Cricetulus griseus: one gene and its partners. The protein of the gene in region 6 interacts with the protein of the main gene of each other region in a pairwise test. Links are inferred from orthologs where the notes say so. Each region holds a gene or a part of one and is shown on either strand. Other genes may lie near its edges. The genes, in order: Synpr, Smim14, Syndig1, Rprm, Emd, Fate1 and Tmem11.

Region 1 (3,500 bases), on a different chromosome or scaffold from region 6:
GTCACTGGGCACTGTGCCACCAGGCTCTGATCAGAGCATTTCTTCTGTATCCTTGAAACTTTGCCATGGTAAAGGGCTCTGCCCTTATCATTCACCCAAAGGAATGTGCTTTTGACCAATGAGATATAACTCTGGGTAATGTGGTCCTTAATCAGCATTTTCCACAGATTGGGCAGCATGCTAAGTGTTTTTTCCATGCATTATCTTCTCTCAGCAGTCTCAGAGTCTGCTGCCTCTTGCATAATTGTCTACAGTTTTCTGATGGTGGCATGGAGATTTGATGGTGGCATGAGCTGGTTTGTTGTTCGTAAAGGATTTACTACACTGTCACCTAGTGGAACCAGACCCCTCCTTGGAGACTATTCCAGCAGTGTGCCTTCAGCTCTTTTGAGTACTAACAGTATTAGGAGAGTTTGGCTTCAGTTCTACCATTAGTGTAGTTAAATCCAGAAACCTTTTCCAGGATCTTTAAAATCATCTTCCAGCATCTGTAATGTCCTGATACCTCACCTTATTTTAGGGCTACTGTGAAGTTACAATGGCAAAGAAAATAATTTTATTACCACAGTAGAAAATATTTATTGTTTCTTGACCAATTTCTTTGCAGAGATCACAGAGCATAGTATGTGTAGGGCATGGTTCCTTCTTCAGAACTTGCACTTGACCAGCAGGGTGAGTTCTGTGAGCCATGTTTTGAATATACAATTCCTAAAGCCTATAGTTATAGTTGATGAGACTGAGAAGGATACCTGTCCCTGAAAGGGCCAATGGGATGCTCTCAACCAGACATTCAGACATTTGTAACGGGATCTGAGTGATATCAGTTCAGTCTAAGTGCCCCTCCCTTAACAACACTTATTTATTATTTCTCTGAGTGTGTGTGTGTGTGTGTGTGTGTGTGTGTGTGCATGCATGCATGTGGAAGTCAGATGACAACTTTGTGGAGTCTGTTCTCTTCATCCTTTTTTCGAATTCTGGGGATAAGGTTACCAAACTTGGTCAGTGAGCACCTGTACCCACTGAGCCTTTGGGTTGGCCAAAGCTGTTTCTTTGAAAGGAAAGACACAATTAGAAACTGAAGGTACCTACCTTCTCCCATATGTTCAAGAAAAAATTAAAATTCTATTTAGAAAAGGAATTTAATATAACAGTGTCTTTCAACAGGTGCACACCCAAGGGTAAGTGGTAGAGAATGGGAAAGATACAGTCTCTGGACTATCTTCCAGCTTACAGCCATAGACTCTACTCTAGGGGAACACTTCTAGTTTTTCTCATTATTTTTGGGTTTCGCTGCCTGAAACACAATTTTAAATCAAAAACCTGAGTTGACTGATTAATATCCTTCCTCCTGTGATAGTAATACACAATTCATTTCCTTGCAGTGTGAAGTTTTAGTCCAATAGCTTGAGGTCTGCCCTGGAACTTTTCTACTGAAGGAGAAAAATGGGAGGGTAGGTAAAATTTCCACTACTCAGCAACTCAGAGAGACAGTATTTTAGTTTTCTGACATCAGGAGTTGAGGACCTGCTCTAGCTTCTTCCACTCTCATGTCTTCAGATCTCAGCAGGTTCATGGTATCTTTCCAGAAACTATCATTTTAATGAAAAAATTGGGATCAGCTTCTATTTACAATGTAGACATCTGAATGAGTACAGACACTAGTTCCAGACAAGGGTCTAAAGAATACTGTAAACTTTGCTTTAATCTATCTGAACAAGCTGTTCTATTAGAACCACCAAAGCCTTGGCTGTCAGGGACACAATGACAACCCTGCAGGCCTTTCCTTCCATATGTTCACATTATTGTTAGGGTTAGGAGAACACATTATTCCTCATCTCTAAGTCCTACCTTCTAGTCTAAACTTTATTAGAACATTAGTGGAATGACAAGGCCAGGTGGGATGTCATAAGTTACTTGGGACATGCATTACCAAGCTAGCAGTTGACAAATATCATTTACTTGATTTGTTAAACATGTCAAGCAATTTTTATTTTCTTAGATTTTGAGATGAGAGTCATAATTATGTCTTTGGCACTGCCTACAAATAAGCTACAGAAATCACTATATATGTTAATGCATACTCACAAGTTGCCACTCACAAGTGTGGCCAGCAATATGTAAGAATGTTTGTGAGATCCAGGGCATAGTGGATTTCCATGGTTGCTATTTCACCAAGACAAGATTTATAGAGAAATCAGGAGGAGTGGAACAACCTTTGCCCTCTTTGTAGCCCCTTTCCCTGACTGAATGTCAGAAAGCCTCAGGGACACAGGTTAATGTTGCAGCCAAGATAACTATACTTCACTTTTGCTGGATGGTGTACTTTTAATGAACACAGCTGAGACTCCCACTCCTCAGTAAATGTTTCTTTTTGTCAACATCCTAGCTCTTTATCAGATGCAGCTTCCTCCTGTGGAGTAGCACAATTGCTTACATGTATAAATTAGAAATACAATTTAGCCTCTCTCCAACTGTTGGCATTCATACTTTCCTGTAAGGCCTATATTCTTGATGACAATATTTGATTTTGTTCAGCCAATTTAGCACATATTTTCTAAGGCTATCGAAGAGCTATACTGAAGAAGGGAGAAGATACAGGATTATTCTAAGTCCTTTTTCAAGCCATGCATTTCCTCTTGCTCCCTACTAAGTCTGCATATTTTTCTCCAACCAATTTGGTATATTCCATGTGTGGCTTTAATAAAATGTTCTCTTCCAGGAAACATGAGTTAACAAATATTCTTTTTAACTTCTGGCAGGCTTCAGCCTTAACATTTAGGCTTTATATCAGCTTTAGCTTAGAATTTTCACTTGACTGTCATCTTAGCCACAGCTGCTAATACCTGCTGGGTTTTTATTAAAAACTGTAATCAGAAACATTACAGTGTGTTGGTTTTGACATTGAAAATCTTGGAGGCTGAAATATCATCTTACCAGTCAGTGAGACTTCCCTCTTTTGATTGGCCTAGTTTTAAAGGCAGAAATGTATACAGTAGCTTTGGGGTGTTTTTCTTAATCACTGACCATCAATTAAGATTTGGGAAGTCAAGCCTGGATGAACAAATACTCACCACGGATGTGTTTAAGCTGGACATGACAGGGCTGTGGACAGCCAAGCATTTGTTGTAGGACTGCTTGCAAGCTGACATCAGTAACAAGACTTCATTTGGATCAGTTGCCACTTTGACATCAGACAGTCCTTTTGCCCAAGCAGAGGAACCAACCAACCACAAGAATGAAAAGACGACAGTGACGATAAAATCCTGCACAGAGAGAAGACAGGAAAAAAAAAAAAACAACAAACAAACAGCAAACAAACAGATGTGAGTTCCAGAAGCAAATCTATTAATTTATGCAAATACCATTTGGTTTTTTGAAAATTCTAAGATCCACAACATTAGGACCTAGAGATACTGTAAAATAAATAAAGTTTGTTGATGTTGTATTTATACTTACATGAGATAAATAATTAAACTGTTATTTAGTTTTGTTTATTGAAA
Region 2 (3,500 bases), on a different chromosome or scaffold from region 6:
GAGGATCCTGAGTTTGTGGCCAGCTTGAGCTACAAAATGAGATCAGGGCTATCTGGGCCATATAGTGAGACTTTATCTCAAAAACAGAAAGAGAGAGGGAGAGTAAAGAATTGAGCTCTTAGGACTGCTGGGAAGACTTTATTTAATTACCCTGGCATGCTCTGTAAGGGTGAACAGCATTTCTACTGCAGTTTGGTTTTTTCTGTCCTTGCTTAGGATACAGAAACTATTGTTCCTAAGACAAGTAAGGCCCAGGGGGTGTGTCATCTGTGATGGCTTCTAAGTCAGGTTAAGTTGGATTTCTTTATCTCTAAACGTTGGAGAAACTGCTCCCTGACTCAAAAATAATAAAGATGTACACACAATGTAAGAAAAAAGGATAAGAAAGAAATATCTCATAAATGCAAGCTTTTTATGCACATTCCCCTTTCCAAGTAAAGTCTGCAGTACATTAAAGCTTTCTTTCCTTCCTTCCTTCCTCTTTCCCTCTCTCCCTTCTTAAGACAGACAGGGTCACATCATGCAGACTAGGCTGACCTTGAATTCAGAGACCAACTCTAGCTGACTCCAGGTGTTGGGATTAAAGGGTACACCTGCAATGAAAGCCTGTGTGTGCCAATGAAGCCATTCTTAGCTAACTCAAAATAGTGTGAATCTGCATCTGCTGTTCTACTGAAAGCTCCATGGTGCAGCCCAGTTCTCACTGAATACTTGCTTTCCTCTAATAAGTTCTAACATTAACAACAAAAGGCCTCAAAAAAAAAGCAGGTGTGTACCACCACACCCTGTTTATGAGGTACTGAGGAACCAATGCATGGCCTCATGCATGCCAGGCAAGCAGTTGACCAACCGAACCACATCCCCAGCCTGAAAAGTTTTTTGTTTATTATTTTTTTTTTCTGGATGCTGTGTCATTTTGTAGACACCCACCCCCCCTCCCCGAAATAGGATCTCAGTTTATAGTACAAGGTGGCCTAGAACTCACTAGGTAGGCTAGGCAGGCCTTGAATTTGTGGTAATCCTCCTGACCCACTCTCTCAAGTACAGGGGTTACAGATGAACCACACCAAGCTGTTTGTTTTGTATGTTTATCTCCAGGAAGGACAATTGGGAACTGAAAATTTTATTATGACTACACTGAAAGAATTCAGTGCAAGAATTAAGTCTTCCTGGGAGCTGGAGAGATGGCTCAGGGGTTAAGAGCACTGACTGCTCTTCCAGAGGTCCTGAGTTCAATTCCCAGCAACCACATGGTGGCTTACTACCATCTGGCATAAGGCATAAGATCTGGTGCCTTTTTTTGGTGTGCAGATAAACATGGAAACAGAATGTTATATACATAATAAATAAAATCTTTAAAAAAAAAAAGAATTAAGTCTTCCTTTGGATAAACAAACACCCCCATGCTACCCAGAAAAGATAAGTCATGATAAGTCATTCTTACACTGTGAGGACTTGATGGCTTCCCGGGGAGGCTGGAGCCTCTCAGATTAGGAGGCCTCAGTAAGAACAGGAGCACTGCAATCACCATCCAGGCCATCAGGATCACAGTAATGCTGACGCCACTGTCACTGGAGGGTCCTGGCACTGAAGACAAACAAGAGGAGCATGTGTAGCAAAACTGCACCCTGACCATAATATCGTGACATAAAGGTAAAAATTCTAATGTTTAAAAATCATATTGAGAAAAGCACTAATAACTTAGGGTATAGCTATAAACTAGTATGTTTAAATTTCCCTTTCCCTGAAGTGAAGAAATCTATAAGGTATAACTTACATTAGTCACAAACCAAATTACAGTAAAGACTTTGACTAGTCCAATAGTTCTTTACAATTTTATTTACTTTATATCATGGGTATGTGTGTATGTCTGTGTGTGGAGATGAGCATTGTGTACACAGATGCAGTGGAATCCAAACGAGTTGGGTTCCCAGAGCTGGAGCAATAAGCAGAGCCATCTGACATAGGTGCCTGGAACAGAACTCTGGTCCTCTGCAAGAGTATGCAGTGTGTGCCCTTAACCTGCCCAGCCGACACTCCATGGGCTACACACATGAACAGCTTTGCATTGATTGCAGAAGGTTCGTGGATTCTAGAAACCACAAATCTAAAGAAGCCAGATTAAGAATACCTATGGAGCTAGGGGGTGCTGATACATGCCTCTAATCCCAGCACTCCAGAGGCAGAGGCAGGCGATTTCTTTTTTTTCTCCCCCCCCCCCAACACACAGGGTATTTCTGTGGCTTGAGGCTGTCCTGGAACTAACTCATGTAGATCAAGCATGGCAGGTGATATCTATGAGTTCGAGACCAGCCTGGTCTATTCAGCGACTTGCAGGACAATGAGGACTACACAGAGAAACCCCATCTCAAAAACAATTATTCTTTATTTGTGTGTGGAGCACACATATGAGGGTGAGAGGGTGACTTTCAGGATCTGGTTCTGTCTTTCCTCCATGTGAGTCCCGGGGATTGAACTCAGGACACAATCCTTTATATCAGCTGAGCCATGGTACTTGAACTTTGTTGGGTCCTATTTTTCTTACACAGGGTCTATCCATCATCCATTATCATTAGGTCTCCAGGGTAGCCTGGGATGCCTCACATTCCTGATTTTCCTTTCCTTAACTCTCAGACAAGTATGAGTCATCACACCAGTAACAGGAACCTCTCTGCTCACCAGCCTAGCAGTAACCACTGCCTATGGATCTGACTCTGACCATGCGGGCTTGACCTTTGCTGGTGTGATCTGGCCCTACTTATCTAATCTTATTTTTTCTAGTTACTACATATTTTTGAGCCAATGTTTTCCGGGCCTGGCAGTACATCAGTAAGGCCTGTGACCCATGTCACAGATTCTGAGGCCCTGTGTCAGACCATCTGATTCAGGAGCAGCATACGGGTGTGGTCGAACATTTTTAAAAAAACCTTCCGAAATGAATATGATGTAATAGTAATTCAATACTACTCTGGCAGGGAACTATGCACACCCAGTCTTTCCAAAGCATCCCATATCCTCCACCCTGTCTGGCACGCATTCACATTCACTACCTCCCTCTTCCCTATAACAATCCCATTCTTTCTGCCACTGTCCTGCTGCCTTCTCCAAAGTATCATGGCATTTCTTAATCCAAGGAATGGCTTCCCAGTTTTCCTAATTAGGTGATCAAATTGCTGTTGCGGTCTTCCCAAGCTGGGGATCAAACCCAGGGCCTTGGATGCGCTGAGCAACTACTCAGCTCCAGTTGTTACCTAGGTCGTTAACTTTTTAGGAGCTGAGACCATCTTGTGGCTACTTGATTACTATCTTTTAGCTATTGAATCTTGGTGCCTTGGTTTCTTTATTTGTGAATGGTAAACAACTCCATCACCTCATAGGGTAGCAGTGAGCACAGACTGAAATAGGTAGGCCAAAAAAACAGAATGGTCAGCTACATAGTAGGTATTGGACAAACATCCACAATTGGACCAATCACAGTTCAGTAAAATGTAGATTCTGGT
Region 3 (4,033 bases), on a different chromosome or scaffold from region 6:
ATGAATGGCTGGGGTATGTGAAGGGGCCAGAACTGCAGATTCAAAGCTCCAGGGTCTCCATGACACAGGACAACAACAGGATATCCAGGAGGAGTCCCAGCAAGGGCCCAGTATCAATAGGATAGCAGAAGCCAGAGGTCAAACCAACGAGCATTACAAAGAACACTTACAAGTAAAGACGTATGGATTAAGGGGTATCCAGTGTGACTCACTGGGCCACAGTACAGCTTCCACACCAAGATTTTTGTTTTGTTTTGTTGGGGGGTATCATGTCACAGGGGCAGAAGGTAGAGGCAAGGGGGTGGGGAGGTGAGTGGGATTTTGATATGAAATCTACAAGAATCAAAAAAAAAAGTTTATAGTAGTGAGGGCAGGAAGTTAGGCAAGGCAAGAACCTGAAGGCAGAGCTGATGCAGAGGCCACAGAGGATGCTGCTTACTGGTTTGTTCCTCATGGTTGTTTAGCCTACCTTCTTATGGAACTCAGGACCACCAGCCCAGGACTGGCACTATCCATAATGAGCTGGCCTTCCCCCATCAATCACTAATTAAGAAAGTGCCTTACAGGCCTGCCTACAGCCTGATCTTCTGGTGGCACTTTGTTAATTGAGGTTCCCTGCTCTCAGATGATTTCAGCTTGTGTCAGGTTGACACAAAGCTATCCATCACATTGTCACAGCCTTCCTGCCTGAACTCTTCCATGGTTGTCTACTCCAGCCAAAGGCAGACGTCAAAGCCTGCAGCCTATAGGCCTCAGTTCCTCCATGTGGTGTCCTACTCGGTCTGTGCTGTTTTGCGGATTAAACACTAGAAGGTTCTGATTCTCAGTTACTCCACACTTTTTCAATTGGAATCTAGCAGGTTGGCCCACAGGATGTGGCACAGCACAGAAGCCAAGAGACATGAAAGGTACAGATGGGCTTTAACTCCCTGGAAGCTCCAGCTTGTCAACTTGCCCTTCTGTCTTATAGCTTAGTGTGTGACTTTCCTGCGTTCAGGCTCCCTTAGATGATTAAGGTTCTGGGTGGTAGGACCCTGCTTGCTGCTCAGGAGGGCTTCCTCTGACAACTTCCCACTCAAAACACAATGTCAGATCTACGTTTCTCTTTGAGGACTGTTTTCACAGCCAACAAGCCACTCCTTCAACAGAATTTCTGTGTCCACTTCACACTGCACTTGTGCTTGCTTTGCTGGTTCATACAGGACAGGCAGATTCAGACACTTACTCTTGGCCAAACCCTGAGACTTTGGAAAACAGCAGATAGTTGCCAGAGGCATTAGCACAGAAGCCAAAGCACCCAGCATCTAGCGTCCCTTGGGCTCTGGCTGGCCTCATGCCCTTCTCTTCCCACTGGAGGCATAAGATGGTTAAATGTCTCTGCTTATGGAGGGGGCTCTTCAGCGACCTGTGGTGGCCCTCACAGGCTCCCTTCCTGAGCACTGTACTCAAGGCCCAGTAGAACACCCTCTGTGCTCTTCCTGCATTGCAGTGGCCTCTCAATGACTCCCACATCACATGGATGGCAATCACTGTGCCCTATCTCACAGAGTCCTGCTTATGTGTCTCTCTGTGTGCAATTCAAAGGCCCTCACTTGCCTCAACGACTAAAGAGGTAAGGCATGTTGGGTTCAGGAACACAGTTCACTGGACCAGTGCTTTCCCACGATTTGATAAATCCCAGGTTTAATTCCCTTATCTCCCCCTTTAAATTTCTATTGTTTATTCTGAAACAGCCAGCTATGACAGCAATTGTTCCCACACCATATGTCTCTAGCCTCATGTATCCCTCTTTCTTGTAGGTTATTCAGTGGCAGTATCCCCAACTGCCCTGCCATGCAGTGTTGATGTCTGTGCCCCACATACAGGGCTAATTCTAGGGGTCACCTGTAGGGGAAGCTGTAGCCACGCCTACTTAGGGGCTGGCTACAGGTGTGCCTGACCATGCTTGTGAGGACGTGGTCAGGGTGAGACTTTCAGGGGACTGCGTTTCTCTTTCGGTTTCACTTTTGTACTTGCTGGACAGACTGCTGCCACACCGGCTGGCTAGGTTGCTCTGTAAGTAAGGCTTTTCCCTATTAAATACCCTTGTATTTCTACCTGACTCCATATTGGTAATTTCCCTCTATAGTCACCTTTGGCCGGGATCACTGTACAGCTCCCAGTCTTTTTCCATTCCTTCCATCCCTCACAAATGCTCCATAAGGCCTTCTGTATTTTTGCATGGCAATTTCACTCCCTGACTTTTGCTGAGCACTCACAGGTATCCCTCAAATCCCATTGCCCCCATCCCAGAAGGTCTTTAACAAGCACATCCTCTGACCTCCAGCTCCTGTAACTCTTCTTCCTCCTCCACATCATAGGACAGGGTGTGGATCTTGATGTCATCAGCTGAGAGGTCGATGAATTTCCCATCGGGGTACTCCAGGCTGTCTTTGGTGGGCGATCGGTCCTCAATGAAGGTGGTCTCACAGCAGTCAGTGGCCATGCCATCCCCCCAGGAGCGGAGCACCCCATCTGAGTAGAGGATGATGTTGGGACGATAGTGGGACTCCACAGACTGCTGCAGTGTGTTTGGGTCCAGCAGCTGCTGCACTGGCTCACTTCTGCCTCCTTCCAGGCTGCTTGGTGTTGCACTGGCCACCAGCCTATGGCTCTGGTACTGAGGTGCTGGGTAAACAGACACCAGGCCATCCCTGCTCTCAGCCATGAAGTTTCTGGTGTTAATTAAGCCATTTCTTTTGCCAGCATCACTGATCTTACTGTGTACCAGAACACTCTTCTGCTCAATGATGCCATCCATGGTAGACTCCCTCCTGCTGGGTGTCAGGCTAGCAGGCTGCGCTCACTGGTCACACAAGCCCCATAGGACCCATTTCCCTGGAGGAGCAGGAAACAGAGAAGGTAAAAATTATGCAAAGCTCATCACACAGACACACATTGCATCAGAGCTTACTAGTCATCTGGCATGCATAGTAGCTATGGAGTCAGATAAATACAGTCCATCCCATTCTGTGAATTTTCAAAGGGCCCATTAGTGCGCCATCCAGATGAAGCCAGAAATCGATTGCCTGCATCCCTATGAAGTCTTTGTTTCCAAATGGGGGAAGCTGCAGGAACTGGATCTACTGCAGTCCTACAGAAGCCTCTGTCTGACAACAGACATCCTGAAACTGAGAAACTCAATCGCATTAGCATCCCAATGGTCTACAGAGAAATAGAATTGTATGTCTGTAGTGGGGATCGATTATTCCAAGTATACAACCATTCATTCAAGCAGGAGAACACACCAAGGGAAGACACTTTAAAACCACACTCTGCACAGACAAAAAATTAATGACAGGAAGACTGTGCCACACTGTGGACACAGTTCCACACTGAGGACATAAGTCATGAATATACCAGTGCACTCCTGTGTACCTAGTAGGATGAGCACTGCACTCATAAATAATGACTGACTCCAAATTGTTTGCCCTTAGAAAATTTTATCTAGGCTTGCACAATGTAGAAAGAAAGAGAAGGAGGAAGGAGGGAGACAAAGGAAGAACCAAAGAGACCAGAGCTTAAAGTTCTAGGAAATGTAATGCTAGCATTTCTGCAGATTGCATGTTAATAGCCATTATATAAATAATAGCATCTTGTATGGGCTGAGGAGATGGCACAATTAGAAAATTGCTTGCTGTGCAAGCATGAGGACCTGAGTTCGATCCCAAGAACCCAAATAAAAGAAAAAAATGCTAAGTGTGGTGGTACAGCACATTTAATTCCAGCACTATGGGGGCAGAGACAGGAGGGTCTCTGGAGCTTGCTGGCTAGACAGTCTCACTGAATAAGTAAGCTTCAGTTTCAGTGAGAGACCCTGTCTCAAAAAACTAAGGTGGAGAATGATGGAGGAAGCTCCAGCGTTCACACACATACACACACATATGGAGACATATACACATATGGATATACACACAAAAGCTTCATCTCATGCTCCTCTAGCACTAACATTTTCTATAACATTTAAGTATTTTCTAATTGTAGACTTTTTATT
Region 4 (3,251 bases), on a different chromosome or scaffold from region 6:
TACCTCCTGACTTGGACACAAGGGTTTCTCTGCTCAGTATTTCGAACTTCCTCAGCTACTTTTCTTCAGAACCTGCACTTTTCTTTTTCTGGAGCAGCATCCCTATGCTGTCCTGCTGACGTGGGTCAGGGGAAAGACGCCCTCCCTAAAGGCTAGCTTGGCCGGCTTCTTCTTTCATTAGCGGGGTAGCCTAAGTTCTCCAAGGAGCCTGGTACGGAAGTGTAATCTTCCCGCGGGGACCTCCCTGACATCCGAGACAAAGTGAAATTTGAAGTCGTAAATATGGGAGAAAACAAAGGCCGCTGTTTTCGAGATGGCTTTTGTGCCTGAGGCTTGGTGTGTGCACTCTGTCGGGCCCCTCCTTCCCTCCCTCCGGGGATATAAGGCTCTACGAAGTAGAATCGCAGCTCCGGCAAGGCGAAACCTCCTGGCCAGGACCCAGACTGCACAGCCGACCTTCCTGTCCGCCAGGAGAATAGAATGACTACCAGGAGGCCAGAAACAAAACACTTAAATGTTTCATTTATTAAGGAAATGTTAAATAAGAAAAAAAAAGTCAAACGTTGTCACGGATATCAAGAGCACTTTTGTGGAGTAAACCGTGCATACACGAGCTACAAATTCTACTCTGGATCTTTGTCCCGGGCTTAGCTGGAGCGCCAGCCTCCCAAAGAGACCCAGCTGGAAATGCACTAAAAGAAAGCACTTAACCCCATTCACAGTCTCAGGCTACCCTCCCCCCACCCCTTCTCCCAAGATGACAAAAACTCTAACCCGCAGGCAGGCAAACAGGCCACTAGGGCTTAAAAGACTTATCAAATATTTGTATTCAAGCAAACTAACACAGATCTCTATAAACCACAGGTTACTATTGATCAAAGTTCCACTCTCCCCGCAGGTCGCAAAACCCACACACATCTATGTTCCCATTAGGTCTGCAGTGTGCTGTAGAAACAGGTCAATTTCGTGTCACCCGGCTACTAGTGCCTCTGGATATCCTCCCCACCCCAACTCCCGCCTTTCTCGGCCTCTCCAGATGTCCCCAATGCTGGGCCCACCTGCAGGTGGAAAGGGGCCTTCGCCTGGTCCATCTCCCCGCGTCTCAGGCAAGCAACGGCTCCCAAAGTTCTGCGCCTTAATCACCCTCTTTTGCCACCTGCTGCTGAGTCCCAAAGTCTGGATGCTCCGTCTGAAGGCTTGCTTGGGGCCTTTAGGAGAGCGATCAGAAATGGGTCACTTTTTCCCCAAAGGCAGGAGGCGAGAGAAAAAAATTCTGACTCCGACAGGTTTGCTTTACTCGGTCTCTGATGGTGAGAGGTGCATCACGGCTGGTGGAGTACTGGAGAGGCCAGGAGCACCAGCCGTGGGGGACCAGAGGGCCTCTCAGTAGGGTCCCACGACCACTGCCTCAACCTCTTTAGACGGCCTCCGGTCCTTCACCAGGAAGTTGATCATGCCTTCGGATTTGATGAGCAGGTTGCAGCCAAGGAAGAAGATGCCGAAGACCACGGTGAGCGAAAGCACGCACATAACTGCGATCTGCACCACGCGCATGATATACAGGCTACGCTCGTCGGGGCCACCCTCGGCGAAGCCATCGTCGGTCACCACCGACGCCTGGGTGCAGCAGCGCACGGCGCGCTCCAGAGCCTCGCTGCTGTTGGCCAGGAAGAGACCGGCCACGTCGGTCTGGTTGCCCAGCACTGAATTCATCACGGGAGCAAGCGGGAGCCAGGAAGGCGAGGATCGGAGGGGTGGGGACCGGGAGGCGGTGGCGCCGGAGAAACAGGTGCTGGAAGGAGCGCTGGCTGGCACACTTGTGCGTACGGGGCTCCTCAGCCTCCCTTTCAAAGTCCCTGGGCCGTGAGAGTCTCAGGAACCTCTCCTGGGCGCGCTGCAAGCTGGCTCGTGTGCGCCTTGTGCTGCCCGGGCTTTGCTCGTTCCCGGCAGTGCTCGCTCGACTGGGAGCTCTTGGAACTTGGCGGGTTGGGCCGGAGGGGCCGTGGGAGGCGCGGGCCGCGGCGGTGGCCCGGCGGCTGCTCCAAGCGCACAGCGGCCCCTGCTGGTGGCAGAGCCGCGCTGCGCCCCCCTCGGCCAGGAAGTGGAGGCAAAGAAAAGAGCCGTCCTAGCTGGGTTTGTAGTATCTTCATTTCCTAAGGCCAGGAAGAGGTCACTAAACACTCTTGATGTGATGAACAAGAAAAGGATTTGGGGAGAAAGGCTGAAAGTGGCAGAGAACCTGGGTCACACACGCTCTTGAGAGTGTCCTTCAATGCTGCCCCTCTCACCTTTGATTTGACTTAAAGTGGCCAGGTACCAGATGGCCCTGGCCAAAGCACTGACCCACTGCTTATTCCTGTCTACCTGCTTGTCCGGGAACAAGGGGGGCGGGGCAGGATCTGGGAAGTTATTTCTTTCTCACTTCTTTTTGGAGGTGTGGTGGTGGTATTATTGTTTTAAGGAAGGAAGAACTGATGAAAGCGTCAGAAAGAGTAAAAGAGTTATTACATGCCAACGTAGTGAAGCGGGGTTTGCAGTGAGCTGCAAGGCCAAGGCAAGGGGCAGGACGATGAAGGAGGTGTTCATCTGTGGCTCGTGGGTGAAAGTGCTAGCCAAGAACAGGGTTAACTCTCTGGTAAGGGAGGTGGACAGAGCCATCACTTCACTGCAACTTTAATTGCAGAGGAGTTTTTGGATGAGCTTTCAGCGTTTTTGTCCTTGGCAAAAAATCAGTTGTTTAAGGGAATTGCTTGTCCACATCCACCACCTAGACTGCTAGCCAACAGCTGGAAGCCTCCCACCAGAAGCTGATGCACACCCCCAGCCTTCCTTACTCACTGCAGAGCAAACTGCCGGCTTTTCAGGGAGCTATGGAGGCTCAGTCCTTCGTGACTGCTGTTGGTTCTAAGTTCCAGGGGAGTCTTACAAACTGGCCAGTTCGTATTTTAGGTTCCAGAAGATGCCCAGTTTTCGGCCCCCCTTCCCCTTCTCTCCTTTCCCAGTTCTCTGCTTTCTTTGACCCCTCTCTTTCTATTATAATGACTGGAAACGAGACATTGATGTTCAGTCCAAACTTTTGAAAGAATACTCTTAACTAGTTTCTACTGAGATAGTGGAGTTGCTTTGCTATTCTCTGCTCTATTGGGGATGGGGGTAGGGGTGGGGGTCGGGGGAGGCTCTATAACTAGCTCAGACTGTCCTTGAAGCAGTCATTCCAGGCCTTTTATTTCTGAGTTTGGCATCGATAGACA
Region 5 (4,092 bases), about 2.2 Mb from region 6:
ACCATTCAGCAGAAGAATCAAGATCCCAGAGTCTAAAGAGGCTTTTGCAATAGCCCCAAATTGAGTGATTCATGGAAATATTCTCCACAGGAAGTACCTGGTCATCTAGGTGCTACAAAAGTCTGGCCTCAGACCTCACTCAGGATTTGTCAGAGGTGCCAGAAGGATGTATGCAGGGCATTCTGTAGGTCTCTCGGAAGTTCTTCCTGGGAGGGAGTAGCTATTGGCAGGTGTGGCTATTTGGGAAAAAAAATCTTGGAAATGACCCTTTTTTTTGAGACAGGGTTTCTCTGTGTAGCTTCGTAAACCAGGCTGGTCTCGAACTCACAGAGATCTGCCTGCCTCTGCCTCCTGAGTCCTGGGACTAAAGGCATGGGCCACCACCGCCTGGCTATATGTGACCCATTCTAAGAATAAGAAAATTTTGTGAGTCCTGTAATCCCACTCAGCATTTAGGATTTTGAGTTAGGAGAATTGAAAGTTCAAGGCCTGCATGAGCTACAAGGTGAATTCAAGGCTACCTGGGTAACATAGTGGAGGCTTGGGAGGTAGTTATCTCAGTGGTAGAGTATTTGGCTGGCATGCATTAAATTCTGAATTCAGTCCAGACCCCCCCCCACCAGTTTTAAGGAAAAGTCACCATGAAAACATTTATTCAACACAGGAAGAAAATTTTGTTTGTTTTTTGAGACAGGGTTTCTCTTTGTAGCTCTGGCTGTCCTGGCAGTCACTCTGTAGACCAGGCTGGCCTCAAACTCAGAGATCTGCCTGCCTCTGATTCCTGAGTGCTGGGATTAAAGGCATGAACCACCACCGACCAGCAAGAAAATGTTTTTAATTCATGATTTTTACCAAGGAACAGTTAGTGCTGTGTTAACTAATCTTCATAGTTGATAGACCTGAAAGAAACTGGAATGCCGGGTGTTGGTGGCACACACCATTGGTCCCAGCACTCGGGAGGCAGAGGCAGGTGGATCTCTGTGAGTTCAAGAGCAGCCTGGTCTACAAGAGCTAGTTCAAGGACAGCCTGCAAAGCCACAGAGAAACCATGTCTCCAAAAACCAAAAAAGAAAAAACAAGAAAAGAAAAAGAAATTGGAGACCCTTCTTGGGTTTCTTGGATGTGTATGCATTGGGAGGGGCAGTAAAGAAAGTTCAAATTCAGTTTGTATGTGTGTGGGGGATGTCTTTGAAATGCAGCTCACAGTCACTACCTCCCCCATGCCCCTTCCATCTGCCTACCGGTTGATCTGATTACCATGCCTGTGGGTAAATGGGTTTATCCTCCGGAAAGACAATCATCTCCATGTACTCTAGTGCCACCTCACAAACTTGAAATCAAGCCACTAATTTAGCAATTTATGATAATTCATTGGCTTCCCTAGCAGAGGTCTCCTGCTAGACAGAACAGTGAGGGATCTTGATCTTATTGGGAGGCCAGAATGTGAAATGTCATTGCCAGTGGAGCCAACAAAGGTAGCACTGGATGCATAGTGCCTGGAGGGGACCCCAGCACTTTGCTCTTCAAGTTACACTATAGATTACTAAATTGACTCTGGAGATGTGATCAAACTCCCCCTCACTGCTCTTTCATATTCTTTCTTTTCTCCCTTTTATCTTACTATATAGCATGTGCCACCTTCTCTTTTTGATAATATTGAGTAGGAAAACAAATTAAATAGGCCTGTTATTCCAACATTTATGAAACAGAAATTGGGAGGGGGATTGCCACTTCAAAGCCCAGTCTGGGTGCTACATAGTGATTTCCAGATCAGCCTGAGCTGCAGAGTGAGTCCTAGTCTACACACACACACACACACACACACACACACACACACACACACACATCAGAAAAGGAAAATCTAATTTGCAATTATCTATTTCAATTTCATGTTATGTGCACACTGGCATAATGCAAATGTAGCTCATATTGGGGTTGCAGGTAAAATGAATAACAAAATGTTAAAAATGGCATTGCTTTATGTGTCCTTTCTGTAGGAAATGACATTTGAGTTGAATCTGAAACTACCAGGAAATGGGCACATAGAACAGGAAGAGAGAGCTTGACAATATTAGGTAATGGCTGTGCCTACCAACTTCACAGATATTTGGCACTTTGTACCACACTGCACACCCCCAGGCTTTAAGACTTCACCTGATTGCTTTGAGAATTCAATGTATTTTTGTTGTTTGCTCACAGCCAACAGCTGCACCTAGCAGGAACCAAATCAATGATAGCTAGCTACAAGGGCTTGTTCATTACAGTGCTCAGGGACCCATTGGGGCCTTAGGAACGAACGGTTGGTGCTCACTGCAATTACCTGTTTCATCTCTTCCCATGGAACAAGACCTGACCGGTGTGGCCAAACCAGGCTTGGGCAGAGGCAGAAGGCTGTGACTGTGGGCAATTCCCCTGTATAGGTGGCTTTGGAGCGGGGCCTTCTTTCCAGCCAGTAAGCATTTGGCTCCCTTGTACTCATCTAGCCTATTAAAGGTTGGGCCTAAACACAGGTTTTGCAGACCCCCCCCCCCCCCGGAAGCCTGGCGGCCCTCACGGAGCAGTGAGCTCATTCTGAGGGATGGCGTCGCCTGTCAGCCAGGGCACTTGAGCTCGTGGCGCGCCCCCGCATCCCCTCCCCGCCCCCGGCTCCAGGGCGATTTTACCAATTAAGGCTTTCTTGCCGGGACGGGCTCTGCCGGGCCCCGCGCGGGGCGGACGTGGGGCGGGGATGCAGCCAACAAGAAGGCGGGCAGCAGCGGCTCATTCGCGTGGAGGCGCGCGGCGCGCAGCGGACGCCAGGGGAGTTCTGAGGCCTCTGGCTCGAGCGCAGAGAGCTGGGCGCCACCCCGCGGTTGGAGGGACAGCAGGTGAGGGCTCTGTAATTAGCTCCACACCGGATAGTAGTCAGATAGTGGGTGCGACGCTCGGGAGCTGGGAAAGGTTTGGAAAGCAAGCAGAGAGGCCGAGGCCAGGCAGTTTGGGTGTGGACTCAGGTCCGAGGCATCGTGTTAGTGTCCAGACTTGCATAGTTTACCACAAACTTATGTTTGTGCTCAGGAATCTGTGAGCTCGAGGTCATGGGGGGGGGGTCCCTGAAAGAGGGGCTGGTATCTGAGTGTTTGGCAGGAGATGGGTACAGGCGTGGGTACCCATTAATTGGTCTTTGTGTGACTCTCTGGGGGTGGGAGGGAGGTCTTTTGAGACTAGTATCTTGATTGGGATAAGGGTGAGTGGCAACTTAGAAGGACACTTTTCAGCCAATGGCAAGGGTGGATATGAGTCCACCCTCATATGAATACATATGAGATGATGAGTCCCCTGCTAGTTTGGACATAGGGAGCTGATTTCGGGGCTGTGGTAGGGGTATAGCGAGACAGATTTCCAGCCTGGATCTTGGGTCCTGTCTCAGGTTGGTTCTGAGTATGACGGTCATTGCCAGCCAGAACATAAGCACCAAGGTTCCCAGATCCCAGGAAAGAAAAAGTGGGTGAAACCCACACACAGTCTCTTGCAGCTCCAAGGAGTCTGGCCAAGGTGGAAAGTTCAGGAAATCAATTCTCTATCTTGTCACACCTGAATTTGCCTTACAGGCACTGGTTTTACTTCAGGGATTTTCTGCTTCCTTCCCTCCTGGCGCCCCCTGGCTACACAAGTCTAGAAAAGCTCTTCAGGGTCCTAGTATAGCTGGTGGGCTTGGGTCTATAGTTCCCTATGGGAGGGCCTGGCCTAGGGTCTGATGGTGGGGGTGGGAGAGGTGGGCGGGGTGTGCCTAACATCGAAGAATCTACTCCAAATAAGGGAAAATATGAAAGAGCTGGATTTTGGCTTCCTGGAGCTGCCCCTGGATCTTTGAGATGGAGCGACATCTGGTGGTGGCACTGTGTCCACTCTAAGGCCAAGAACTCTCCCCCCTCCCCCACCCCTACCCCCGAAATAGCCAAATCATAGGGCTGGAAGCTGGGACTCCCAACTTCTGTGTGATCCATTACTATGATTCCGTCTTCCTTGTTTCCTGCCAATTAGTGAACTCAGGTGATCCAGACAAATGGCACACAGTGGAAAATCCATTATTGATTCAATTCCATACATGGG
Region 6 (4,023 bases):
TTTATTACTTTATTTTTACTATCTTTCGTTTATTTTTTCTGAGACAGGGTTTCTCTGTGGAAATCTGCCTGCCTCTGCTTCCTTCAGCAAATCCTACCGGCGTGAGCCACCACACCCAGCTACTCTATTTCCTCCTGTTATTTTTTCTCTCACAAGCCTACATATATTTTTAAATGCAGTGTAAACCTTTAGAGGTTTTTCTTTATCTGGATCTGTCTGTATCATCTTGGGAGTGCTGAGTCCAAGGCCCAAGAGCGCCGGGACGGCGTGAGCCTATGGAAGCTGTTCCAATGCCTCTCAGCACCCTGACAGGGCAGGCTGTGGTGGCAGGTTTCCCTCATTCTCTGGGAACCTTGGGGCATGGGGTCATCCCACTCACTGACCCATTCCTTAAGGTTTGCACTTGATTCTTTCAGCACATTGGTTGAGTACAAGCACCTGACTGGGAGGAAGCCATTTTATTTAAAGTCCATTAGGGATAATAATCACAGCTGCAGTATACCTTTGCAGAAATACTGAGAGTTGAGTGTCTGATAAACTCACTGGGGATCAGAACCTGACTAAATTGACACATACATCTGGTCTAATCTGTAGAAAAACTGAGGCAGAGCTGAAACATACAGCAGGGTACACAAGCCCAGCATGTCCCTCTTGCCCCTCCCTGCTTCCTTCCCAGGATTCATATCAGACAAGGCCATCTACTTTGCTTGAAGACTCTGCATTGGAGGAGGCAGGATGTTCTGTACAGAGAAGCTCCTCTGATAGAGTGCTGTACCCTAGATTACTGGCCAGTCATGGGCTTGTAGAAACCATGATAAGCATGGGACCTGTCACTGCTTTGGGCACTTATGGATGCTTGGGCCGTATGCCAGCCCTTGTCTCTTTCTAGACCATGATGGAGGATGGGATCCTCCTACCCGTGAGTAGCAAAATCAAGGGGAGATGAATCAGGGCAGCTCACAAAAACAGTACCACTTAGAGCACTATCTCATCTCCAAGTTGCTTACACAGCAGAAGAGAAGGCGGCCACGAGACCCACCAACAAGATACAGTGGGAACTCAAGGTGCCAATCCAAGGCCTGAGCACAGAGAGGGAGAACTGGCTCCACCCTCTTGTGCCAGTATATCTCCCTCACATTTCTACCCCTGGAAGAGGCGAGCTTCCAAGTGTCTTCTCTGTGCCATCCACCCTGAACAACCTTACAAATGAATACCTGGTGGTGATGGCAGAAAGCCCTTCCAATGTCAAAGAAGGGTATAAAATGTCCATTTCTGAAGATCTAGGGACTGGAAACTTTGACCAAAGCCAAGAACAACCAGTGATGTCAGGTGAGAATCCCCTAAAAAGCCTGTTGGGTATAGTTAATCATGTGCGTTTACTTGTGCTGCTTCTACAACATCCCAGTCATTGTGCATGCTGTTTACTTAGTCTGGAAGGTTATTCGTTTGTTTTAGGTATTTCAGTGTTGATTTATGCTTTTCTTTTGCCATATTAGCTTGTTTTGGTTTTTAATCATTCATGAACCATTTACATATCTGAATTTACATGGATGGAAGATTTTATTATTGGTATTTCCTATTCTCTCATACATAGAGATGGTTTGTGTTTGGGATTTCATCTCTTGATCATTGCTCATGCTACAGAATCCTAGGCCCAGGGCCAGATTTTCAGTAAATACATACTGACCTGTTGAACAGATGGACAAATAGGCTGAGCATCAGAAGTGAATGGGTATTGAGTGATTTCTGCTGTTTTCAGTACCCAGAAAGTTCTGGTAAAACCTTTAAAGCAGTATTCATAGCAGTCTCTGTTCTTCTTTCTAGAAATGATGGAACGTGGGTCCCGGTCACTGGGAGGAATCCAAAGACGTCCAAGGGCAGAGCAAAAACCTGCTGGATCTGGTTCAGGCCAGTCATTTTGGAATGTGACTGGACCTCGTCCCAAGAAAGGGGTATTGACAAATGGTGGCTAGTTTAGGGTGGGAAGTTCTTACTTTGGGGCTCCTGTATTCCCATGGTAGATATAGCTAGAAGTTGATCATTAGGAGGAGGAAGCTTCCATATACCAATAAAGCAAATGAATGAAGGGTAGATCATTGGAAGGTTAGGGTTGTACTGTATAATGCTGGGACTTCAATGCTAGAAGTCTGCATGCCTAGCAAACATGTTGACTGGAAAATGCATCTATAGTTGACCCTCTACATTCCTAGGTCTTGCATCCATTGGCTCAATCGATCACAGATGGACACTGTCTGTGGGTGGAGGTGGAGTGATTACATCTCTAGAGAATACATGCAAGATGTTTTTCTTGCAATGATTATCTACACAATATAGTATAAGAATTACTTAGATGGCATTTACATTTTATTAGACATTATAAATAATATAGTAATTATTTCAATTATATAAAAAGATATGATTATGCTATATTCTAATATTATGACCTTTTACACAAGCAACTTGGGAATCTGCAGAGCTGCATAACCATAGTGAGGCGTTTATTCTAGAAACAGTCTCCATGGATACCAAGGGATGACTATACAATTCTTTATAAACTTCCAAGGTGTGAAATGATGTTTTCTTTTAAATTACTTAAAATCATCTTGAAGGTTTACATTCATCTTCAGTAGGTAGCTTGGGTTTTCAAGGGATGCCTGCATGTAAAAGTTCTACCAAAAGACAGAGAAGCCTGTCACTGCATTTTCCTTGGCACAGCACACAAGGCTAGAAGCTACCAATAGGCATGGTGTGTGTGTGGGGGGGGGCACAGGAAGATGAAATGACATCATGGGGCTCCTATGGGGTGTACTGTTGATTCATGCACAATGCGGTGCTAAAAGGGTGACTTGGAATGGTGTATCCTTTCTTTCTGTAGGGTCATCAGGTGCAGATGCCCCGGATGCCAAGAGATCACAGTCAGGTGGATGGCTATCTCCAGGAGTTTCCTGGCAACTTCCAAACAGGGAGGGTCCCTTATGAGCGGTAAGAGTTCAATTGTCTTGTTCCTAGCTACTGGGGGAGGAACAAGCAGAGGGTAGGGCCATAGGGACTAGTGAGCATCCGAGTCGAGAAGCAGATGTATATACTTGAAGTATTGGGATACTATTGCCTCCTGGCCATTTGGGATCTACGTATGCTTTGGCAAAGCCTCCGGCTTCTTTACTACACAAGGGAAGGACTGGGATCTTTATCCAAAAAGCCTTCAGGCATACCTTATTGCTCTGTGTCTTTTCTATGGCCACCAACACCTCTGAGCCATGTAACCTTTCCTTCCAACAGTCTGGAGGCAGATTTAGTGGCAGAGATTGGCCTGGAAGAACTCAATGGGCTGGAGATGGAAGTCATGAGAAGGCAGGTAAGCATCTGTTGTATAGTTGGAGGAAGCATCATAGTGCTTTGGAGTGGGTGATTTTGGCAGTTGTGAACAAAGCCACCCCCGAGTTTTCATAGCCTTTGTCCAAATCATATCCTGTAGCAAATGAAGTGAGGTTGGGCTCTCCTTTCTGTTCTTCTCAGGCCTCATGCCTTGAGTACCTCATGTTGATGTTCACCCTTGACTTTCCTTTATGCTGGAGATGCTGGACAGGAATTGGGGAAGAGAAAAGGATGTGGAAGGGGGAACAAAGATTCATTTTGGTTTTGGTCATATTTTCCCCCTACCCTTATGTCTTGCCTTTCTCATAAGAGTGATTCCTGCTCACAAGTCCTGTGTTTGGTCCTTCCACAGATGCAAGTGATTTCTGGGCGGCTGCGTGCCCTTGAGGACCAGGATGCCACGTGGCGCCATAAGGAGGCTGTGCTCTTTAGTTTGCTGGTCTCAGTCTGCATAGCCAACCTGTGGCTTTGGATGCGTCAGTAAAGTTTCACAAACACCACAACCCCATTAGAGCCATTCCTTTCTTTCGTCTTCCCTTTGCTTTCAAGGATGCCCTTATCCACGCCATTCTATCTCCCAGCAGCCCCCCAGGTAGCAGTTGGGTCATTTTACCCCTCTGCTTGGGCCTTCTGCCTGGAGATACGCTC
Region 7 (4,084 bases), on a different chromosome or scaffold from region 6:
ACTTAAGAAGCAGGCAGAGCAAGAACCAATGCACACTAAGTTGACAATCAGCATTACGCAAGGCAATAAATACAACATATGCTCCAGAGTATGCAGCCACTGCCAATATGATGTCTGTTCAAAGCAATGCCCACTCCAGCCCTTGCCACAAACTACCCTGCATCTCCATCAGTTTCAGCATAGGGCAGGCAGCAAGGTGTGAGCAACTCTGAAGTACTCTTAACATGAAGCTGAAATTTGAGTCAGTCCAAATGTGACATGGAACAAAGTCACTTAGGAGCCATAAACAGCTTACTTATGTCATGAGAGCCAATAATACACTCAGTCCTCATAATCTATGGTGCTGAGTATACAATTATTCTGACCTGCTCCACCCAGTCAGGCCACCAAGTGAGCTGGAATGGAGGTGTGCCCAGAAGTCAGCTTGCTAGTCAGGTGGGGTTGTTTCCATACACTGCTCAGAGTGGGAGGGCCTTAAGGAGATGGGATCCTGAGACTGAGTCCTTTGGCAAGGACTTTCCCACAAAGGCAAATAGAGGGGAAGCCTCCAGTCACTACATATTATCTAGGAGAGCAGATGGCAACTCTCAAATCACAAAATCTGACACCCCATTCCTGGTAGATACACAACATCTGCACACATGGGTAGAAACTGCAGTTCCTGACCAAAGGTCATAACCTGAACACCTACAGGCCCCATACAGATAACCTCAATTAGTTGTCAGGTGAGGAACTAAAGAGAAGCTGTTCTGAAGAGTGTCAACTACTATCTAGTTTTACCTCAAAATCTTTCTGCATTTCATTTAAATTCCCTTAAAAGCTGTTGAAGCTCAATCAAGGACTGACTGACAAACTATTTTTGACTAATATTAGTTTCAAGACAAAGGAAAAATAGTTCTCTGTATCTATTTTCTTAGGAAGGCTACAGTGTAAGGCTCTTGTCCCATGCCTGAGGCATCCATGTTTGGCCCTTTCAGTCTGTATCCAAGAATAAGCGTATCCTAGAGCACCCAGGCGGTGGAGACCCACGCCTGGCCCAGCACTTGGGAGGCAGAGGCAGGAGGATCTCTGTGGGTTTGAGACCAGCCTGGTCTATGAGAGCTAGTTCCAGGACAGCCTCCAAAGCCACAGAGAAACCTTGTCTCAGGGGGAAAAAAAGCAACAACAACAAAAAGAGTATCCTAGAGCTTGGTGACTCACACTTTTAATCCAGCACTTGGGAGGCAGAGGCAGAGGCAGAGGCAGAGGCAGAGGCAGGCTGATCTCTGTGAATTCAAGCAAAACTTCAACTAGAGTGAGTTCCAGGACAGCCAGCGCTACACAGTGAGACCCTGCCTCTAAAAAACAACAGGAGTAGTAAAAGTGTCTTTGTCCGACACTGGGTCTTCTAGGAAGGTTCTTTCCTGTTACTAAGGGGCTGAAATTAAAAGTCTGAAAGCATCCCTTAAGGTGTTAAGGACATGGAAAACAACAAAATAACCTCTTTTGATGTTCTTATCTAAGAAATAAGTGAAAGTTAGAAAAACTACTCTTTGCCATTGCTTTTCCATGGAACAGTAAATGCACAATAGATTATTTTGCCTAACTGAAATCAAGAATAAAACCAAGGCTATCACTACTGCCAAGCAGGAAGAATTGTGTGGGATGGGAAAGTTCTCTAAGCAAAAGCAAGGTACATGGGATGCATCAGACAAAAAAGAACAATGCAGATTAGTGAAGACAGAACTTTTATGTTTGACAGTACTCATCGGAAAAGAAAAAAAAAAAAAGCCCAACTTTCTTTTCTACTGACATCTACAGTAAAATGCAGAGGCCTTTGCAAAACGGACTGAGCAGCTTAATCCAGTAGTTCTACCGATATACACCCATCTCCCCAAACTTCTAACGACTGAACAGTTTCTAGTAACCTACTAGCTAATAACACTTCCCAGAAGGAAAAGCCTACAAAAGTTCAACATGAAACACGCCAACTACTCTCATCTTCGGAAATCACTGGAAGAAACAAACCCCTAGCGCCCCCAAACGCATTCTGTTGAAAAGGTCACTTTAAAGGACTTAGGGCAGAAGCGCTTGCAGCGAACCCTCTAAGAGTGGCGATGACTGCCGCTCAGAAGGCGTCCAAGCACAGGCTCTTGGAGGTGCGCCCGGCACGCTGCTGCTCTCAGCAAACGCCCCTAGAAGCACACCGCTCTACCCTCCTCCTCTTCCAAGAGTCCATCCACGCCACGTCCGGCGCCCAGGCCCAGACAGCCACGTGCGCGAGCCAGCGACCCAGGGCCCGCACGCCGCTCCGCAGGACAGCTTGGCGGCCCTCGCAGTCGCTCACCCCGGTTCACAGACCGCCTAGTGCGGGCCGCTACCCCTCCTAGTCGAGCTCCCGGCGCTCCTCGGCCGTCGCGCCGGCCCGCTCCTCCCACACCAGAGCCCCGAAGACTGGGCCCCGCGTGCGGCAGGACACGACCCCGAGTCGCGCGTGGCACAGAGGCTTCGCCGACTCTAAGGTCGGTGGCTGCCTGCAGTCGCGAGCCCAGCTCACCTCTCTCGGGAGCCACCGCCGCCCGGACCCAGACGCCTCCTTCCCCACGCGGCCATCTTGGAGACTCTCGGCTCGTCGGGGGCTGGCGCCGAAGCGGCTCGGGGTGCGCGCGGGCCGAAGGGAAACGTAGTCCGGTGAGCCGTTCGTACGCAGTGGGAGGTTGCGAGCGGACTACAACGCCCACAATGCCGCACACCGGAAGCCTGCTGTAAACTGCCGCGCGCAAGAGGGCAAAAGGTGGGCTCCGCCTGAGGAAAGAGTCTCCGAGTCGCTGTGTGCGAGTTGCTGCGCCCACCGCCTGGACGTCCTTGGGCGCCCAGAGCGAATGGCTGAAGGAGAGCGGAATGAAAGCGCCTACCACTCCCAGAGCGCTTCGCGCGGCGACCCCGCCCTCAGGGCCTGAGAAGCCCAACCCTTGGCTTCAGCCCTCTTGCCCTTCACTGTGGCCTCGGCCGCTGGGGGCCTGCGTTTCAACTGTCCCACACTTTACAATGACTTGAGCAGCTTAACCTCCTCCGTTTCTCTCTTCTTATCTGCAGTCTAGAACTCGTGCTCCCCCAGTTTGAAGGTTACCTCTGCTTCCGCAGTGTCAACTGCCCCTCTCTCCTGACCAGAGCTTGCCAGCCTGGCAAATTCAGAGATTTTGAGGGTCTGTAGATGTGCTTGACCCAAAATGCCTTTTCCTCCCAGCCAGTTTTTATGCTTCAAGACCTCGGGTCTGTGTGGTTTCTAGGAAGTTCCTGGTTTTCAAATTGAATGCTGCAACCCTGCCTCCAAGTGCCAAACTGTAGCACAGTGCAAGTGTGGCAGAAAATTAGGAACGTGTAGCAAAAGATATCAAGAATAAGGTATGAGGGACTGCAGAGACGGTTCAACAGTTAGGGTACTGACAACTCTTCCAGGAGACTCAGGATCCATTCCTGGCACATGGCAGCTAACAATAGTCTGTTAATCCAGTAATATCCAAGGCCCTCTTGTGGCCTCATGAGCACTGCACACACGAGGTACACAAATACACAGGTAAAGCACCCAGACGCATTAGAAAAAGAAAAAAGACAAAAAGAATAAGGTATGAAAAAGCCAGTTGATAATTGCCTGGAAACCCTTCCCCGCCTGGGCTACTCAAACAAACTTGGCCTAGAGAAGGCAGGTGGTATGGAAATGGCCTATAAAGGGTTCATGAGATTATGGCTAAGGACTTGAGTTTATGAGTCTTAACCAGATCACTAGCCTATTCCCAAGCTCCTGAGTATCTTTGTAAATTTTTTAATGAATTGCTTCTATTATCTCGGATACAATTCTTTGTCCTGAGATACAAGAACCTAGAAACCTAAGTAGGTGACCCTGTGACTCATCCAGGAGGTAAATCTGTGCTATTTTTTATTTCCCATTTTCCCCTTCCTTATTTATACTATCTTTCACTTTCCCAGGAGCATTTCAAAGTGGTAGGAAAGCCCTCAGCTCTCGAGAAACCCTGATAATAGTGCAGGGGCATGCTCCCTTTCCCAGCATCCTTCAGTTTTCTATGGTTTTGCCACCTATGGTGAT

The links.
Region 1: the proteins of Fate1 (region 6) and Synpr interact in binary tests that used the Homo sapiens proteins (3 or more experiments, as listed by UniProt). The link is inferred for Cricetulus griseus from reciprocal best matches to the Homo sapiens genes FATE1 and SYNPR.
Region 2: the proteins of Fate1 (region 6) and Smim14 interact in binary tests that used the Homo sapiens proteins (3 or more experiments, as listed by UniProt). The two-hybrid records come from large-scale screens. The link is inferred for Cricetulus griseus from reciprocal best matches to the Homo sapiens genes FATE1 and SMIM14.
Region 3: the proteins of Fate1 (region 6) and Syndig1 interact in binary tests that used the Homo sapiens proteins (3 or more experiments, as listed by UniProt). The two-hybrid records come from large-scale screens. The link is inferred for Cricetulus griseus from reciprocal best matches to the Homo sapiens genes FATE1 and SYNDIG1.
Region 4: the proteins of Fate1 (region 6) and Rprm interact in binary tests that used the Homo sapiens proteins (3 or more experiments, as listed by UniProt). The two-hybrid records come from large-scale screens. The link is inferred for Cricetulus griseus from reciprocal best matches to the Homo sapiens genes FATE1 and RPRM.
Region 5: the proteins of Fate1 (region 6) and Emd interact in binary tests that used the Homo sapiens proteins (3 or more experiments, as listed by UniProt). The two-hybrid records come from large-scale screens. The link is inferred for Cricetulus griseus from reciprocal best matches to the Homo sapiens genes FATE1 and EMD.
Region 7: the proteins of Fate1 (region 6) and Tmem11 interact in binary tests that used the Homo sapiens proteins (3 or more experiments, as listed by UniProt). The two-hybrid records come from large-scale screens. The link is inferred for Cricetulus griseus from reciprocal best matches to the Homo sapiens genes FATE1 and TMEM11.

Annotation. Positions count from the first base shown.
Region 1 is NW_023276807.1:171,601,859-171,605,358, reverse strand, and holds part of Synpr (synaptoporin), read right to left. Parts: intron 3,264-3,500; coding exon 3,072-3,263; intron 1-3,071. UniProt on the Homo sapiens protein: Intrinsic membrane protein of small synaptic vesicles. Probable vesicular channel protein.
Region 2 is NW_023276807.1:132,496,523-132,500,022, forward strand, and holds part of Smim14 (small integral membrane protein 14), read right to left. Parts: intron 1,588-3,500; coding exon 1,445-1,587; intron 1-1,444.
Region 3 is NC_048599.1:29,351,879-29,355,911, forward strand, and holds the start of Syndig1 (synapse differentiation-inducing gene protein 1), read right to left. Parts: upstream 2,801-4,033; coding exon 2,321-2,800; intron 1-2,320. UniProt on the Homo sapiens protein: May regulate AMPA receptor content at nascent synapses, and have a role in postsynaptic development and maturation.
Region 4 is NC_048599.1:120,434,663-120,437,913, reverse strand, and holds Rprm (protein reprimo), read right to left. Parts: upstream 1,975-3,251; 5' UTR 1,714-1,974; coding exon 1,384-1,713; 3' UTR 501-1,383; downstream 1-500. UniProt on the Homo sapiens protein: May be involved in the regulation of p53-dependent G2 arrest of the cell cycle. Seems to induce cell cycle arrest by inhibiting CDK1 activity and nuclear translocation of the CDC2 cyclin B1 complex.
Region 5 is NC_048604.1:1,461,291-1,465,382, forward strand, and holds the start of Emd (emerin), read right to left. Parts: upstream 2,801-4,092; 5' UTR 2,664-2,800; intron 1-2,663. UniProt on the Homo sapiens protein: Stabilizes and promotes the formation of a nuclear actin cortical network. Stimulates actin polymerization in vitro by binding and stabilizing the pointed end of growing filaments. Inhibits beta-catenin activity by preventing its accumulation in the nucleus.
Region 6 is NC_048604.1:3,690,889-3,694,911, reverse strand, and holds the start of Fate1 (fetal and adult testis-expressed transcript protein), read left to right. Parts: upstream 1-1,223; coding exon 1,224-1,329; intron 1,330-1,824; coding exon 1,825-1,952; intron 1,953-2,875; coding exon 2,876-2,982; intron 2,983-3,279; coding exon 3,280-3,355; intron 3,356-3,727; coding exon 3,728-3,859; 3' UTR 3,860-4,023. UniProt on the Homo sapiens protein: Involved in the regulation of endoplasmic reticulum (ER)-mitochondria coupling. Negatively regulates the ER-mitochondria distance and Ca(2+) transfer from ER to mitochondria possibly implicating it in the regulation of apoptosis.
Region 7 is NC_048600.1:74,863,484-74,867,567, forward strand, and holds the start of Tmem11 (transmembrane protein 11, mitochondrial), read right to left. Parts: upstream 2,801-4,084; 5' UTR 2,593-2,800; coding exon 2,537-2,592; intron 1-2,536. UniProt on the Homo sapiens protein: Plays a role in mitochondrial morphogenesis.